4 linked regions of the Arabidopsis thaliana genome follow. The protein of the gene in region 2 interacts with the protein of the main gene of each other region in a pairwise test. Each region holds a gene or a part of one and is shown on either strand. Other genes may lie near its edges.

The links.
Region 1: the proteins of ERF8 (region 2) and HB21 interact in binary tests that used the Arabidopsis thaliana proteins (3 or more experiments, as listed by UniProt).
Region 3: the proteins of ERF8 (region 2) and MYB73 interact in binary tests that used the Arabidopsis thaliana proteins (3 or more experiments, as listed by UniProt).
Region 4: the proteins of ERF8 (region 2) and TCP16 interact in binary tests that used the Arabidopsis thaliana proteins (3 or more experiments, as listed by UniProt).

The regions. Positions count from the first base shown.
Region 1 is NC_003071.7:680,829-686,341, reverse strand, and holds HB21 (homeobox protein 21), read right to left. Parts: upstream 2,708-5,513; 5' UTR 2,512-2,707; intron 2,054-2,511; 5' UTR 2,041-2,053; coding exon 1,108-2,040; 3' UTR 846-1,107; downstream 1-845. UniProt on the Arabidopsis thaliana protein: Putative transcription factor.
Region 2 is NC_003070.9:19,820,529-19,825,135, forward strand, and holds ERF8 (ethylene response factor 8), read right to left. Parts: upstream 1,725-4,607; 5' UTR 1,569-1,724; coding exon 1,011-1,568; 3' UTR 809-1,010; downstream 1-808.
Region 3 is NC_003075.7:17,538,859-17,543,550, reverse strand, and holds MYB73 (myb domain protein 73), read right to left. Parts: upstream 3,062-4,692; 5' UTR 2,950-3,061; coding exon 1,987-2,949; 3' UTR 1,752-1,986; downstream 1-1,751. Other genes in the region: HMA1 (heavy metal atpase 1), read left to right, coding at 83-188, 341-505, 653-869, 954-1,141, 1,225-1,311, 1,400-1,564. UniProt on the Arabidopsis thaliana protein: Transcription factor that functions in salt stress response. Acts as a negative regulator of NHX7/SOS1 and CBL4/SOS3 induction in response to salt stress. In response to auxin, activates the transcription of the auxin-responsive gene IAA19.
Region 4 is NC_003074.8:16,529,508-16,533,388, reverse strand, and holds TCP16 (TCP domain protein 16), read right to left. Parts: upstream 2,211-3,881; coding exon 1,713-2,210; downstream 1-1,712. UniProt on the Arabidopsis thaliana protein: Required during early processes in pollen development.

The sequences.
Region 1 (5,513 bases), on a different chromosome or scaffold from region 2:
AACAAAATAATAGTAATGGCAATCAATAAACTATGTCAGTTAATTGAATTTTTATCTTCCACGAAATACGCAATACGCAATTCATTATTGATGTTTTACTGAAATCGAGTGATAAACTATAGGCATAAAAAATTATACTACTATAAAACAACAAGTGAAAATGTTACATTTAATATTACAATAAATGAAACATGTGATATCACAAGGAACAACAACATCTTAAAATCGTAACTCCATTTTGATGCATGACATATTTTATCCCATATCACATTACACGACTTGCAATATGCCAAGAAGTCACATAAAGTAAATGCACATAATTGTTCAAATAAAAGAAAAGGTCCATAAATGAGTTTACTAGTACACCAACCAAACATTTACTCAACCTAATACGTCATACATATTAGGACTTGACTTACACTCGCCAGGACAATCTCCAACTCTCTCCATTGATAGAAATCGTAATTTATTGCTCTCTTTGTTTTCCGTGCAATTTATTTTTCGATCATGAGAATGAAAATATTTTTTCAAACTAGAAAACAAAATAATAGAATCAAAGCAAGACCGGATGTTTAAAAAACAAGACAAATCAAAAAAAAATATTTTGTTAAATCAAAACAACGACAAAAAAGAAACAAGACAAATCAAAACAAGACCGGCGTAAGATTTAGGTAACTAGTATTAATTTTGTTATGGACTTTGTATGATACACTTCCTTTAATAAATATCAGAATTCAAAAAACAAAAACAAAAAGAGTTACCTATGAGAATCTAAAATTCTGCTACTCACATAAATAGTAAACGTGACAAATGATATCACGAACTACAAAGTCTAATGATTCGAAGTAAATAATAACAGTGCACATCCCAATGCATTGGTTAAATCGCCAAGAATTTTCTTAAACATACATTATAAGAAAACATCAAAAACTTATCTTACACGCTCCAAAACCAAGATTATAGGTACCCTAATAAAACACATGTTTATAAAGCTACCTAAACAATGATTAGCCGAGAAAGGAGAAAACATTAACCATACGATAAGAAAGTACTTAATTAATTAAGTAATCACATGAGTGAAGTTATATAACAACAATCTGAACTTAACTAAGGATTAGTAGAAGCAAGATTTTCAGTAATGTCGTTATTACCAGCAGAAAGGTCGACATTGTTACTAACGTTGTTGCTCTTCTTGGAGAGATTTTGTTTGTTGTTGTGCATCCAAACTTTAAGAACTCTTCTCCTAATTCCAATCTCTTGACAAAGCTGTTGAACAACAGATTCCTCTTGTCTCTGAATCTTCCAACCAACTCTTTCCGCAAAACTAATCATCTTCTCCTTTTGCTCTTGTGTAAACTTTGTCCTAAACCTTTTCTTCTGATTATGTCCGTAACTATACGGTGATGGTGGTGGTGGTGGCTGCCGGAATGTCAAGCTTCCTCCGCCTTCTTCCTCCATAAGATCCTCTGACTCTGAGTTGGATCCAGCGGTTGTAACGCCAATAGGCATTATCATTTGTTGTGGTAATGGTGATTTGATCATCTTGTGGTGGAACATGAGTTTTCTCTGCTGCGGAGGTGGTTGGTGGTGGTTGAGGTAAGGGGAAAAGAATGTTTTCTCTTCACCTTCGGTTTCTCTTCTATGAAAGTTTCTATGGCAGTTGCAAACTGAGCAAGTGAGAGCTTCAATGGAACCTTCTTCACCACTTGGCATAAACTCTCCACAACCATCAATGGCATTGCCTCCCATGGTAGCTGCATGGTTCTTTAGGCATTCCTTGTACTTTATCACCACAGGCTTCTCTTTCTTGATGTTGGTAACCATGATGTTGTAACCCACATGATGATGATGAGAATGATCATGATTTTTACCAAGACCATTACTATTTGAGGAGACTAGTAGTGGGTTTGAAGTAGTAATGTTGAGAGATGATGGTGCAGAATTGGCATGATGATGATGGTTCATGTTCCCATGCCCACCTCCACTATTACCATAACTAGTGTTTATTGGAATAGGATCTTCTTGACTTGCAATCTCCATTCTTTTGATCTATCTGCCAAGGAAATAAACACGATTTTATATTTAAAACTTTTTTTGGGTTTTGCAAAGTGTTTCTTGGTTTGGGGACAAAGAAACTAGTTAGGAAGAAAAAAACAAGAGTAAAGATAATTAATGAGTAAAATTCAAATGATTAAGCTACAAAAAGGCAAGAGCTTTCTTCACTACTCATTAACCCCATTTTTTTAATTATTTCCTCCAAACAAAAAGAAAAACCCTAATTTTAGAAGGTCCATAAAGATAGAGAACAAAACGAAAAAGTACAAAAGAAAAGAAAAACTTATTGCAAGCCTGCTTAAGCAAAAGCTGACAAACCCACTTGAGAAAGAAAGGTCTTATTCCAAGTGAGAGGTTGATGATAATCAAGAAGACAATCTTTATTGTATCACCAAAACAAAATTGTTCTATTTAAACCAAATGAAAAAATTGACTGAAGAAGTTAAGAGCACATACCCACAACCAGAAAGAGCAGCAAACTTTATCTCAAAATGAAACCTTTCTTGAGAATAACCACAAGGTTCTGAGAATAGAGAGAGGCTAAGGAGTTTAGAGATTTAATTAGGGTTTTATAAAGTGATAGACTTTGAAGAAAGAAGATAAAGAGAGAGAGAGAGAGAGAGAGAAAGAGAGAATTGCAGGTGGGTTTTGGATGTGAAGGCACTTCTTAAACTAAGGGCTTAGAGTATTAGTAGTGAAAGCCAATAAAGCATGAGAAAGACACATGAGAGCCATAGCCATAGCTAATTATTTCCTCACTTTTCTACAGACAAAGAGAAAAAAGATCATTAATTAATTACACCTAGTTTTCATTTTATTAATTCATATATAGGATATTTTATTCAATAATGTCTCTACCAAATTAAAATTTGGGTGATAATATATAGACAAAAACAATACAATTGTGATCAAAATATGGAAAAGAAAAAGTGTAGCTAAATTATTTGAAACAAAAAAAGCTACATCATTTAATTTAAAATTTGAAGAAACAACAACAATCACTAAATTAGACTTTATAAGATAAGTAGTTATTCATTTTTATATACATTTTTACTCATGAAATGTCATTTTATAATATTGATATATCGCAGTCATTGATGAATTGAAGGTTATATTGAATATAAGACCATCCTCATTCTTCATTGGTGATACTTTGAGGGTGTCTTTAAATTAAAAATAATAGAAAAAGATAATTTAATGTTTTTAATTGTGTAATAGTGTCTTTAGAAAGACATTTTAGATCTCTAAAATAGAAGCTGTCTTTAATTTAATTTTAATTTATTTTTGAGATATCTACAAAGGTATGAGTAATGTGGATGCTCTAAGATTTTCATATTCACCCAAAACAAATTATCAGTAAAGGGAAAGAAAAAAAAGAAGAGAGCCAAGAATTAGGATTATGGGAGATTGCTTGTCTTGCACTATCAGACATCAAATTTACAACAGTGTAGAAACGTGTCAGATAATTAGTGGGAAGAGTATTGAAGTAGATAACAAAGAGAAAGTCATAATAAATAACAATATCTCATCTTTGTTCCAAAACATTAAATAACTAAAAATTTGGTAGTAAGGTATAATAATAATATTTTTTACCATCTTAAAATTTAAAAGTGTGAGATTGATACTAATTCAAAACGAAAGAATGTTCTAAACATTACTATAAAGCCTTAACTTGTTAAGCTAGTTAATTAAAAACACATATTGTTCCTTTACCCTTCGGCCTTCGCCATTAATTATGTCACGTATGATATTAGCTTCAAGAGGTTGTCATGTCATGCTTGTGAATTTATATGATTTACTTGAAGTTACTATTAATTATTGGTCCTACCAAATATGTGCACTTATATACCATGATCATCCGTTTTCTGGAACATACAATTGTGAGAAAGAATCAAAAGATAAACAATAAAATAAAAATATCATAATCAACTGATAATATAGTTACTGAAATATATTCATAAACCAAAGTTTGTTACGAGTTTTGTTAAGACCAAAATCTCGATTATTATTAAGTTTTGATAATATAAAGTTTTTGGTTTATATTGCGGGCTATCAGTGTTGTAAAATTAGACTCTATGTTATAGATGATATATGAACAATTGCTCTTGGGTGGCAGAATTGTAAATTTTGGCCTAAAAGTATATATAGTAAGTCTTGGTAAATAGATTTTTTTTATTGCTTTACATTTTCGACTTAATTATCACTAATCCCTATTTTTATATTTCTTTAAAATCAAACAAATGAAAACATCAAATCACCAATACATATTAAGATTTTACCTGAAAACTATTACTTTCTTGCTTAAGATTATTATTTCTGCTTCTTGATGACTAATGTTTTAAGATATATTTTTCTTTTTGACGGTCAAAAAATATGTTTCATTTTCATGTTTTGACCTTTTAGGTATAATTGTTCTAATCGACAAACTTAATTCGTTTTAGAAAAGTTCTAACAAACACGACAAGTTGTTGTCTCAACTACGGTGGCGGTTGTTCCTCTAGGTGAGTGGGGACTAATCTCATTTTTATTGATTCGTAAAAGAAGCACTAACTACCAAATTGCGGCAATTGCTAATGACCATTCAAGTCTTAATTACACAAAACACAATTAAGAAATAAGAGCAGTTCACTTTCTTAGTTTATAATTTCCTTGTGACCTTGTGGGCTTTTATTTTATAATACAAAAAAAACAAAAATTGAGATACTTTTATCTTTTTCTTTTGTTTTCTTCTTGTTTCTATGTGTTGTCTATTCTTCTGGACTCTGGTAAAATTCCTTCCATTGTAGCAGCTTTTTCAAAAACAACTCTTTTATTTTCTTTGTACCTTACGGTTTACGATATCATCAGAATAATGGCAAATAAATGCATACTCCATATAATTTAATTTAATTTCCCGTCGTCCATACTATGTATTTATTCACACGTCAAGTGACTTTTATTCGAGGTGATGTAAAAAAAAAAGCGACTTGTATTCGAGGTATAAGAAACAAATAAAATAAAAGGGACCACAAGAATATTTTTCAAATTATTCAATTATTAAGAAAAAACATAATTAATGAAAATGGTAAATTATTTAATATATATTTTTTCCTGTGTCGTTAGTTATATAATTTTTTGAAAATATAATCTACGATATTTAATTATATGCCGCTTACGTGATTGAGATAAACAGTTTTCACGAACAAGATTTTATGGTACAACTCTCCCTATAATATTATCCGTTTTTTACATGGATCAAATTTAATTTCTGTTTCGGCATGTAAGAAGTTCATATATTTCAATCGAAATAAATAAATAGATAGTATATTATCCTTATGAAAAGTTCTAATTATATATCGCATAATTACGTACGTATCATTGTTGATGAGTGTAGGATGAAAAATGGTTTTGCTCTTTGGGATTTCGATTGGTTTGGGATGGATGTTTGATTCTTTTGAAGTTCTAGCTAATCATAACCA
Region 2 (4,607 bases):
ATGGGTGTATATTTGGTTGAGTGGGGCTAAATGTCGTTAAGATAAGGGCTTAATTGAAACTATTCAACTTTCTAGAGGCCCCAATTTTACATCCCTTTATTATAACCCTTAACACGATTTTGTACGCATGCATATATATATATTTTAAAACATACTAACTTCTTTAAAAAAATATGAAATAAGAATTTAAATTATGTTAAGCGTCCACGTGGTAACGATGACGATTCCAGCCGTTGGATCTGCGACCATAGAGCATAACTGTTTTATACGTTTTTTGATCACAAAGTTGGCGACAAGAATCAAAATCAAATCTCATCCTTCCTTTGTCTCTCATTATGAAGCCGCCGCTCTTCTTATCTTCAACTTCCTTAAAACATTTTTACCATTTCAAATCGAATACTATTCAACTTAAGCAAGACTCTTAACCATCTGTTAATAAATCATCGGAGTTAAAAGAGTTGATGCAAAACACAAAAGTCAAAAGTTAGAAAAGCAGTCCAAACTGTGAAAATGACGTAAGCGTAAAGAAGTATTCTTCTAACGTACGCCGCAGCCAGAGAAGATGGGTCCGGTCCTCCCACGATTGGTGCGTGTCTTCACGACACTTGGACCATTGTCTTTTCAAGCCGACGACGACGATACTCATCACTATATTTAGTCTTATAATAATAACATTACCATTCTTTATCTATTTCTTCTACACACGAGCCCCAAAAAGCTCTATAATACTTTATCTTTTCAATTACGAATTTACGATGATGCATTTCCTTGGCAAATACTAAAGAAAAAAAAAAAGCTTAAGATCCTCTTATGTTACGTCGATTTATAATAGGGTTTCATAATAATATATACATAACGACTTTTTTTTCACGGCAGCTAAAAATTATATTGGAGCTTTTCTACACTTTCTTCTAAAAAACGGATAATATTTTTTTCTTAGGCAGAAAAAAAAAGGAAACGTTATTTTTTTTTGTCTAAAGAAACGACATAAGAAAAAAAAAACTCACGGCCTATTCCGCCGGAGGAGCTAAGTTAAGATCCAGATCTAACGGCGGAGATATCTTCCCAGCTCCACCTTCGAAATCAACGACCGACGACGTTTCAGACTCGCTCTGGACACCACACGTCGTCATCTTTGGATACGTCGCCATGTTATAGTAGTAAACCGGATGCACAAGCGGGATCTTACGACGACACGCGCCGCCGCCGCCTAAGCTGAGCTCGAGGTGCGGAGGTGTTATAAACCGTGCCGCCGTGGGAGAGTCGACGACGGTGCTACTCTGAGTAGGACTACTACCAACGATAACACCGAAATTGGTCTTAGCCTTAACACCACGAAAGTCACGCGCGGCTGCGTCGTAAGCACGCGCCGCCTGCTGAGCGGTGTCGAACGTACCGAGCCAGACTCGAGTTTTCTTAACCGGATCTCGGATCTCAGCGGCGTATCTTCCCCATGGACGTTTCCTAACGCCTCTGTAACGAATCTCTTTGGCAGCATTACTCTCATGATGAGTCGGGTTCGTTGGAGCAACCGGGTCGGGTTTCAAACCCATGGTGATGTTGGGCATGGTGTAATTAGGAAGAAGAATGGAACGAGAAGATCGGTGAAAGAGTTTTGTGGTAACGAGAAGAAGTAGAAGAGCTTCTTTTTATAGGAGAGTAAAGCAACGCTCCTTTTGGGGAGCTTTCTTGTGAACAGTCAAAGCCATTTTGAGAGATGGTTTAATTATCTCTCTCTCATGCTTCTCTTATTTCATATAAAAACTGGTTTTTGTTATTATATCCACTTATGTTTTGCCACGTGTTCACTTCTCTTTCTCCAAAAGAATCTTATTTATTACCCTTTTTCACCTTTGTAACAAAGACTGCACAAATCACAATCTTATAAATTAAGTTACTGCCTATTAAGAATATAATATAATTTGGTTTTTGCTGCATTTATCCCTATTTAAACTAGGAACATATTTGTACTAAATCTATAAAACATGTTATATCGCCACTTTGCAATTTTAAGTAATTTTTCTTATTAAAGCAATGTAATATGCGGATTTAAATCTATATAATGACATAACAATAATACTAGTATACACTATTAAAGAGTGTTATTAGTTTGTGATTTAATTAAAGTTTTAGTAACTTAAAATATTATAAAGAATCTATTGTTATTCAATTAAAAAAATTTAAAATATTAAGATTTGTAAAAAATAATTTAAAATCTTGATAAATCTATAGTTATTGGATTTATACTTTTATAAAATTATTATAAATTTTATATTATTTAGCTAAAACAAAAGAATCTATAATTGTCAATGAATTAAATTATTGTGTTATTGGTTTATGATTTTCTACACTTTTTCCAAAATAAAGTTACGAAAAGTATCATTAAAAAAGAAAGATTGTTTGAGAAAATTTAGAAATTGTGAAAAACTAATCAACAAGATTATAGAAAACTCTATAATAATAGTTTAGAAACTTTCATTTCTTTACAATCTATGATTTTATCAGATTCTTGAATTTTTTTTAATTAATTAAGAACTAATAACACCCTTTTAAACTATATGTTTTAGTTAGGTCAAGATTTATATATATATATATATAATATAAACTATTGTGTGTGTATCTAGTAGAAAAAATATTCAAACAAAATTATCGAATTTGTAGTTATATATGTTGTTAACACATAAACAAAAAAAAAAAAATTTGTAAGAAAATATATAGCGAACAAAATTTCTGAATTTGTAAATTATATACCGTTACATATATATATCGTTAAAGTGTCGACAAAAAAATATTTCTTACTTTTCTGTTTGGTAAAAGTAAAAATTATTTGAAATTTGTAATTTAGCGGATGTTACCATGATGACAATATATAATTTAGCGGATGTTACCATGAAAGCTTATTTGGTATAAAGGGAATAGAATAAAAATTTGTACTTTAGTATACCGTTATTCCGTTATAAATGTCGTTAACGAGCCGACAAGAAAAAAAAAATCTATTATTTACATGCTTATATCTGGTGAAAAATAAATATTATCAAACAAAATGACCAAAATTTTATATTGTAGTGGATTTTATATATGACGATATCATGACGAACAACGCATATATACTATTTGTGTATTTATTTGGTAAACAAAATATTATCAAAATAAATTTTTAGATTTATAACTTAGTGAACTATTTTATATATCGTGTATATACAAAAAAGAAAGAGATATCTACTACTTGCATATGTACATTGGATTAAAAATGAACACCATCAAACAAATAGATTCGAATTTGTTAGTTCTGTGGAGAAAATATACGTTGTTACAGTGACGGAAAAAAATGTCGCTACAGTGACAACAATAAAAAGACAAATCTATTATTTACATGCATATTTGTTTTTGTTTTAAAGAATACTATGGAATATATATGTTGGCTTTTATAGTTTAAAAGACTTTTATATATGTTGTCTATCGTGTTACCAATGTATATATATGATTGTAGTTAGAGTAAAGTATAATATAATCTAGTCAAATAAACGCACAACAAAAACTTTTTTTTGCCAAATTCAAACTTAAATTGTAAAGTAATTTCTTGATTATCGCTCAAACCAAATGAGTATAATTTACAAAGCCAATGTCTTCAAAAAACATTTTGGCTAGACGGGCTAAAACATCTGATCTTAAATTCAATCGTCGAGGGATAAGAGAAAGGAGAAAAAAAAATCGTGAATGAAACATATCAATAAGATTGGAAAATACACTTTTCAGAATACTGTTATAACTTGATCAACTTAAAAATTCTGTCTCAAACTTTGAGGTGTTAGAATATTTACTAAACTTCTAAATCTAATATACTCAATAAGTTTTCAGTGTTATAAAGAATCTCTGGTATTTATAGAGTCAGTTTAGATAAAAACTGGATTCGAACAAGATTAAAGTTTTTGGAGCAAAACTGAAGGAAAAAAATACAAGAAATGAAGGTGTTGATCGATAGCTTCTATGTTGCATCAATCAACAGCCCGTTAGAGGCAAGACAAGTCAATTTATTTTGTTGAATAATTGATCGATATTTCATCATGCCAATTCCATTTTGTCGACAAAATCGATCGATACCATGAATGAGTATTGATCGACTGCCTCTTGAGCCTGACTAGGCCACCAAGACCTACTGTCGGCCTAATGATTGACATCTCTATTCATGTTGATTGGCATTCTTTAACCGAGAGTTTTGAGTCTCGTTTTGTCTTGAGTCTCCCTATTTTGACATATAACCAACCCAATTGATCGTTTTTTACATGCCTATTTGGTAAAAAGAAAAAGAATACTATCGAATACATTTGTTGTATTTTTTTTGTAGTTTAGAAGACTATTGTATGTCAACTACTGTTAAGTAATAAGTATAATCTAGTAGAATAGGAAGACTCCAAGGCAAAGCACATGTTTGTAACAGAAAAGGTTATAAAATTGAGTGATTAATCAATGCATCATAAGTTCCACACGGTGGAAACATACTATCACACAATGAATCCATTTATTTTCCTAATCTTGATTGTACTACCAAACAACCTATAAGACGATCTGCTATATAAAGTGCGTTAGTTTAGATGCCATCATACTCA
Region 3 (4,692 bases), on a different chromosome or scaffold from region 2:
ATGCTTGGTCTGGTAAGAGATTGAGACTGAAGAGTACTATAGGTCTTTTCTGCTGTTTCTGACACATTTCATCTTGCTGCAGAGCTGTTGTAGATCACAGTGTGGGTAAGGATCTTCCTTCTATTTTTGTTGAAAGCTTCGAATATTTTCCTGGTAGAGGCCTTACTGCTACTGTCAACGGTGTTAAGGTGAGACTCAGTTATTTACTAGATTCTTATATATATCCATTTATCTACCAGATTTTATAGTGTATAGCTGTGGGTGATGTGTGTACATCTCTGGCTTTCATTCTTAATATATATGATGTTGTCTCTCACCACATTTTTTGGTTTTGTAATAGACAGTAGCTGAAGAGAGTAGATTACGAAAAGCATCACTTGGTTCTATAGAGTTCATTACCTCACTTTTCAAATCTGAAGATGAATCTAAACAGATCAAGGATGCTGTAAACGCGTCTTCGTACGGAAAGGACTTCGTTCATGCTGCTCTTTCTGTTGATCAAAAGGTATACTACGACTACTTCTTTAGCTGGTCTAAAAACCTCTTTCCTACTTCACAGTCTGTGATTTTCATCTCTCATCTGACCATTTATTAGTCCATAAAAACCTCTGTAACACTGAAATTTATGAGCCTTGCAACTAAATTTTGTCAGGTAACATTGATTCACCTCGAAGATCAGCCTCGTCCAGGGGTGTCAGGAGTTATAGCAGAACTTAAAAGCTGGGCCAGACTCCGAGTAATGATGTTAACTGGGGACCATGATTCAAGTGCTTGGAGAGTTGCAAACGCAGTGGGTATTACCGAAGTCTACTGCAACCTAAAGCCAGAGGATAAGTTAAATCATGTAAAGAACATTGCTCGGGAAGCAGGTGATCATTCATTACTCTCGCCATAGTTCCCAATCAAAAACATCTATCAAGAGACTGAGAATTTAGAGTTGTGATTTTTGCTAGGTGGAGGTTTAATTATGGTAGGAGAAGGGATTAATGATGCTCCAGCTCTAGCAGCTGCAACAGTGGGGATTGTTCTTGCTCAACGAGCGAGTGCCACTGCGATTGCCGTTGCTGACATCTTACTGCTTCGAGACAACATCACCGGTGTTCCGTTCTGTGTCGCTAAATCCCGCCAGACAACATCATTGGTAGATAAAACATAAAAGTCTTTGTTCTTAACCAGTTTCAGATGTTAGATTGCCTGATTTAACAAGAATGTATCATGTTGCAGGTCAAGCAAAACGTAGCTCTTGCATTAACATCGATATTCTTGGCCGCTCTTCCTTCAGTTTTAGGGTTTGTCCCATTGTGGTTGACGGTACGTAAGCTAATACCCACTACAAGCTTTTGTTATCCATCATTTACCCGAGAGACAAAACCGCTAACCTGCATTTTTGTGATCATAGGTACTTCTACATGAAGGCGGGACTCTTCTGGTGTGTCTAAACTCAGTACGTGGTCTAAACGATCCATCATGGTCGTGGAAACAAGACATAGTTCATCTAATCAACAAGTTACGCTCACAAGAACCAACCAGTAGCAGCAGCAACAGTTTAAGCTCTGCACATTAGGGGGTAACTTGCTGTTCTTTGTCTAATTCTGCAAAAGCAAGACACTGTGAATTGTATGATCGCTTATGAAACATCAAAATCGTATATATGTTTCGTTTCGACTGGTTTCTTCAGGTCATATATTATGTCACGTGAGATTATATTTACTACTTTTAGTTTATGTTTGTTTCCTCGTAACAAACCCATAGAATAAAAGTTTGAGAAGTGTTTTTGACTTTTCTTCTTCAAGTTTGTGTAAATTGTTAATAAATGATCTTGCTTTGCTTTTAATTGAATCACGAAAGAAGATCATATGATGATGATAACAAAACATTTTTTGATTTCGCTTCCTCCTTTCGTCGTCTCTACTACTGGCTCTATACATGAAAAGCCTGAAACTTTTATTTTCCCGAGAAACAGAGGGAAAACTTGTTCTTATCACTCTACTCCATCTTCCCAATTCCGATTTGGTTCACTATAAACTCTCTAAACCCAACACGACGGCTGTTTACACTTTGTGGCATACACGAACCGCCACCTCCGCCGCCAGAACTACTACCACCGACGTTTCCTCGCTGTAAATCCGCCATGTAACTCCTCACCTCCGTCCTTATCATCTCCTGAACCACCGTCATGAACTCACCACCGAATCCACCAGATATCCCCTTCGCTTCTTCTTCTTCTACTTCCACTTGCTCTTCCTTTCTAACCGGAAACAGCTCCGCCGTATAACCACCGTCCATAACCGTATTCTGGTTAAGTTGAACCGGCTCGTTGACTCGAACCGTCTCGTCAGTCCAAGGAAGAGACAAACTAAGATAAGTTGGAGGATCTTCACCAGACGATGACGCTGTAACCTCAGATCTAACCGTTGGTTTAAACACGTGTGCACCACCACTAGATTGCTCGCTGACGTCAGATCCCGATGGACTTCCGGGACTCATATACAAGCCAGTCGAGACACCACCACCACCACTCGCCGTACGTTTCAACGGTTGCTCTTCTCCTAAATTACCATCATACCCTCCATTACCACCAAAATCACAACTTTGCCCTTCGACGCTGCATTTTCGCTTCAGCGTCGAGTTCCAATGATTCTTGATAGCGTTATCGGTTCGTCCATTGAGAAGACGAGAGATCGTAGCCCACTTGTTACCAAACCGAGCGTGAGCTCGAATAATCGTCTCGTCTTCTTCCTGCGAAAAAGCACGGTGCTCTACCTCCGGAGATAGCTGGTTACACCACCGGAGACGACAAGATTTGCCGGAACGTCCAGGGATTGATTTGCTAATCAAAGACCAGTTCCTCGGACCATGTTTCTGAACAAGCCTCTGCAACAGATCATCTTCTTCTGGACTCCATGGACCTTTAATCCTCTCCATATTCTTACGGGTCGGGTTTGACATCGCCGGATCTTTTTATCGGATTGTTCTTTTTTTTTCTTCTAACGCGTCCTCTTTTTTTTTGGTCGTTACAGTTTTTTTTTTTGTGTGTGTTGGGAAGAAAAGCTTTTTGGTTGAAGAGGATAAGAGCAAGAAGAGAGAGTATTTATACGAGAAAGGAGTGGGCAAAAGGGTCACCGGTTCAACCGGTAATTTTTTCTTATCGATTTAACAGAAACGATATTAAACTAGTTAAACTTTACAGTGTAATATTATCCTTAACTGCATAAAAATATCTAACGTATTATTAAAAACAAATTTTATAGAAGGAAACAAATAAAACCGTTTTCTCTATTAATAAAGAGATTTGCTCAGTGTTAAACGGATAACTATGGTAGTTCAAACAATAAAAAATAAAAACTGATAATTATGGTCGTTACTCGTTAAACAATTTTGACTCATTCAGTCAAAAAAATATTGGTGAATTTAATTAATTTAAACGTATGATTAACCATTGTTTATATGTTCATAATTATGTGTCCATAAATGGGCTACGTACAAACCTCGTTAACGTTTGGGTATAAAAAAATTGACAACATTTACGTGTTTGTATGATTGGAACAGATATTTATTTTAAACCAAAAATAAAACACGTTGGCGATTGGAAAAGGCGTTTTGGGAGATAAGCGTTTGTGTGAGGTTAACATCGAGCGTGGAGAGCAGAGAATCTTCCAGGAAAAACGGTTGGGGACTTGGGATACAGCTGTATATTAACACGTGTCAAGTAAGTATATGTACTTTGAGTTTGAGATTTGCTTTTTTTTTTTCAATTGTTCTTTCTTTTTTTTGAGAGATTTGTTTTCTTTTGAAGAGAGAGTACGCTCGTACACAGGAGCGTTTCTTCCACTCTCTGTTTTACAGGTGGAGCGTTTTTACCCAATCATTTCATTTTCCATCTAAAGTGACACTCACAAAAAAAAATCGTTAACTTCTACGTTTTATTCTCTCTATATTTATATCCTTTTTAAAATCATTCTCTTTTTGAATATTTGTTAACTTTTTCGTATGTTTTTTGAAGTTTTATTTTGTAAAATTTTGATACTATTGTAGAAGAAAATGAAATCAAGAATGGCAATGTATATCAAAAAAAATATTAAAGGCAAAATTTTGTAAAAACTAAGAATCTGCTGGAAACATACATATTGCTTTTAAAAATAGTAAGTGCAACAAAAAGACTACATAGAAGTCAATAAAAAATAGCCGAAAGTTTTTGTGTTATGAACTAAAGTTTTTTGATAAGTTATTTTCAATATTTTACACTGTTTGTTACATGTCATTGTCTTCTGTGTGTTGATTGATACGTGTGGTTATTATATAAACGAACGATTGGTCCAATATCCAAATTTTGGTTAAGATGTAAATTGTGTCGGTGAAAATAATGTAGACATTGTAGTCGTTGACAGCGAGTTCTAGGCTTCTAGCTTACATGCAACAAGTGAATGTAATAGTTTTGCAATGTTTGGTCATTGAATTTCTAACAAATATGTACGTGTAAGATACTAGATTAAATATGAATGTTGCAAGTAATAGATCGTTTATATTTGTCAAGTGATAAATTGTCGTATAGAAGAACAACTAAACCGAAGAATTACTAATCCGGTTCAACTTAGTTAACCAGAAATTGAAAGGGTAAACGCCGGTGAAGCGCGTGTAGGATGATGATATATATACAGTGAAGCAAACTTTTCAGGATATATATGTAACTTT
Region 4 (3,881 bases), on a different chromosome or scaffold from region 2:
AGCTGAAACCGTAGTTCCCTAAACAAAAACTGTTGATACTCAAATCATACAATTCATGTAAAGGTTTAAGGAGAAGGACGGATAATCTCTTATAAGACGAATTAGGTTTGGCGAATACAAGATTATACAAGGTGAAGGTACGAGTTTACAAGGACAATCCGAGAAGACAATGTATCCAACTCGTTTGAATAAAGGTGCAAGAATGACGGACAAGGCGTTTGGTTCGAAAGATGTTCGTACGTACTAACGATTAAAAAAAGGCTTCCTAGGAACTCAATGGGGAAACTTGTACGAAGGAGATTACATGTACTCTCTACATATGTGTCAGCGTGAAATTCGGGATCCTTTCTCGACAGTGTTTTTCCGCTTTTATAGGGAAGATATATGCGGTCATGAACTCGGGATGATTTTTCTTTTCTGCTCCCAGCAAATTGACGATACTTAATGGGCTGAGCTTGTGTAACGGACCAAACGCAAGTCTCTTTCTTATGGGCCTAACTATATTTGGGCCGGGCTTTTTGGAATGGGGCGGAACCCATGTCCAACAAAAAAACAGAAAACTAAAGTATTAATATATGTTGCTAAAAGAAATTTTAATTGTTAAGAAAAATCTTGTTATTCATGGAAAAAGAAAATAAGTTTTTCTTCAAATTTTATTAAACATGGTATGATTAAATTTATTTTTATACTATAAACTATATAATCTCTTTTTCTAGCTTAAAGTGAGCTGGAATTTTCTTTAAGAATTTTAAACCATTTTCTTACTCAAGTTTTTTTTTTTAATCTAAATAAAGGTTAAATAGTATTTTTCTCTAAATACATATTAACCAATCTATAAAGTAAAAGAATTTAAGGGAAAACTATTAAAAGTTTATTAAAGTAATTTTTATTTACACAAAAATTAGTTTCTTATTCTTTAGATTTAGTTTTCCTTCCTTTTTTTTTTCTTTTTTTTTCCTTGAGAATCTTGAAAATAATATATATATATATATATTAAAATATATATCTGTGTATTAAGAAATATTAAAATAGATGTATGAAGCTAAATACAGAAACAAATCTTAAATAATTATTGTCCAGCTAAGTGTGAGCTGGAAATTTCTTTAACAGATATAAAACCACATTCTTACTCAATTGTTCCTTTTATTATCTCTTTAATTTATTTATATTATAGTTTTTGATATCCGTTTTTAATTAATGTTTTCATAACCGTTGGAACCTTTAGGTTCGAAAGACAAACGAATTTTGACAAATTAGAAAACGGAAATAAATAACTGTACATAAAAGTTATGTTTCGGTAAATATTATGACAGAATTATTTATTCTAGAATACCAACGAAATTGTTCGTGTCCAAAAAAGAAAAAATGAATCAAATTTGTTGTGAAGAGTTTAATTTAATCCATTGTTGAAATCAAATTCTCTACTAAACTTCAAACATGGACAAACAGTTTTAAATTACATCTATAATTAATTTTAGGTATTATTATTCATCTTAAAAAAACATGAGCATACAAGAAAAAAAGACAAATGGATACCGATCGAACTAAAACAAACCCTAGTTCAACTCTCAAACTGAAAAACATGAAGAGGAAAGAAAAAGCAAACAGAAACGAACTAAAACGTCCAGAACTGAACACTCTTAAATCTCCAATATTTATTTTAAAGACTCCAAATTGGCCTTCTCAGCGACGCCGTCTCCTCCTTCACAAGCTCAAACTGTGGTTGTGGCTGTTGTTGTTGCTGCTGATGTTGTATCACTGGCGGTAGCATTACCATTAAAGGTGGAATTGTAATTATCACTAATAGTACTGTAATTAGTTGAAGGTGCATGATCTGTCATTGTAGAAACCGGAAACACCATCTGACGATGACCAGTATTTACAACCGTACAAGGGAAAACGTTATTACTAATATTATCACCATTAAAGGTGTAACTAGGAAAATTCCTATTTGGCTGGATATCTTCATTGGAGGTGGTGGTGACACCATGTCCCGTGGCTGCGAAAATGGCAGGCTCGGCATTCTGGAGGAGCCAACTGACAGTTTCACCATCGGTTTTAAAGCCGAGTTCTTTTGTCAATCTAAATAGTTGGGGAGCAACACTCGGCGGGATCCGAATGCGACGATCACGGCCACCAATTTTCAAATGGCGGTCTTTTGGAGTCCTTCTTGCCTTTTGGCTGTTGTTAATTCCATTTTTCGAATCCATTTTTCTCTGTTTTTTTTTTCTTTTTCTTTTGTAAATGGAAGTGGAAAATATGTTTGTTTCACTTGGATTATATAGAAACGTTACAGAAAACTCTATTTCTATTTATGTTATGTATGGAAAACAATAATGGTGTAACAAACTAATAATTAAACTAATTGGTAAATAGAAGAAATCTTAAATTTATATAGGTATATTTGAGAATGAAATATTATCATGTAATATAATATGTAGTATAGAAAATATATTTAGTGGACCTGAAAAAAAGAAGTTATATTGGAATAATTAATTGATAGGTCCACTAAAAAAAGGAAAATAAACCTTTCTTCTGGCAGTTTACAGAAATTATTATTTACTGATACAACTGTACAAGTATAGTCCTATTTTATCCTATTTTAATTTTTTTAAAGTTAAGGTTTTAGTTTTTTTCCTTAGAAATTAATGATATTCCAACATTGTTATTTAAAATATTATATTGTTATTTTTAAACTAGGTGTTTGGATAGGAGTTCGCATATTTTTTTTTGGACGGTTAATTTGTTCTTCAGATATTGTCTATTTGTTTATTTATCAAACTATATTTCATTTAGGGTCAAATTCCCCGGACTATCAATTCTGAAAATAGAGATTCAGACTTAAAAATATATATCCAGAAAATTCCCTTAAGCTAACCCATTCGGGATAAAAAGTTTTTGAGGCTTAATCCCACCAGATTCAAGCCGGCCTAAAAAAATTTTAATTTTTTTTTTTACTTTTCTTTTGTTAATATTTTTCTTTAATTGGAATATTTGTTTTTGTTTTTTTTAATAGTATTGAAAACCCTAAACCTAGTTTTTCAATTGTGCCTTACTATAAATCTAAAAAACAAATCTTGGCTCGACTGTCTAGATTAAAATCTTCTGATTTTATATTTTATTTGTTATGAGTTTAAATAAAAAAATTAGATTATTTTTTTTGATTTTAAACCTTTTTTTTTGAAAATAAACTGGCTTTCATGGTTATTTAAATTTCAACTGATTTGTTTTGTTCATATATCCATCTTTCAGAAATATTATAAATTATAAATTTGTTTTTTTCTGGAAAGAAAAACATAAAAAACCTGGAAAAGTCTTGTCCCTGTTATTACCAGATCTTGAAATATAAGTTCAAATTTTTTTATTTCAAAATTTTTACTAACCGAACCAGACTAAATAAAATATATTCGAATTTTCTGGACTTTGTCAGACTGGACTAGTCCAATTGACATGTCTAAACTATTATAATAAATTATTTGTATGTAAGAAAATATATCCAAGTAAAATGATGGGTTACAAGACAGATGGTTTAGAAATAACCTGATATCATATTACCCGACTCTTACACATACTTTGTTTTCTTAAAACGGATAAGAGTTGGATAACATACTGTATATTGTTTGGTCAGCCTTACTGTTTTCATTTCCAAACTGACTTTTCAAATAAAGAACTAAAAAAAAGTCATCACCATCATTTTGAGCATGTTTCTATAACTCAAGCGGAACACTTTTAGAATTCGTCAAATCAAATATATTTTGACTCATTTTAAATCAAATATTCACTTTTACGAGAATAATTAACGAATTCTATCATCATTGAGCTATGATTTCATACGTATACCTTATAATTTAGATTATACTCTAAATTAGTGTGATGTTAAA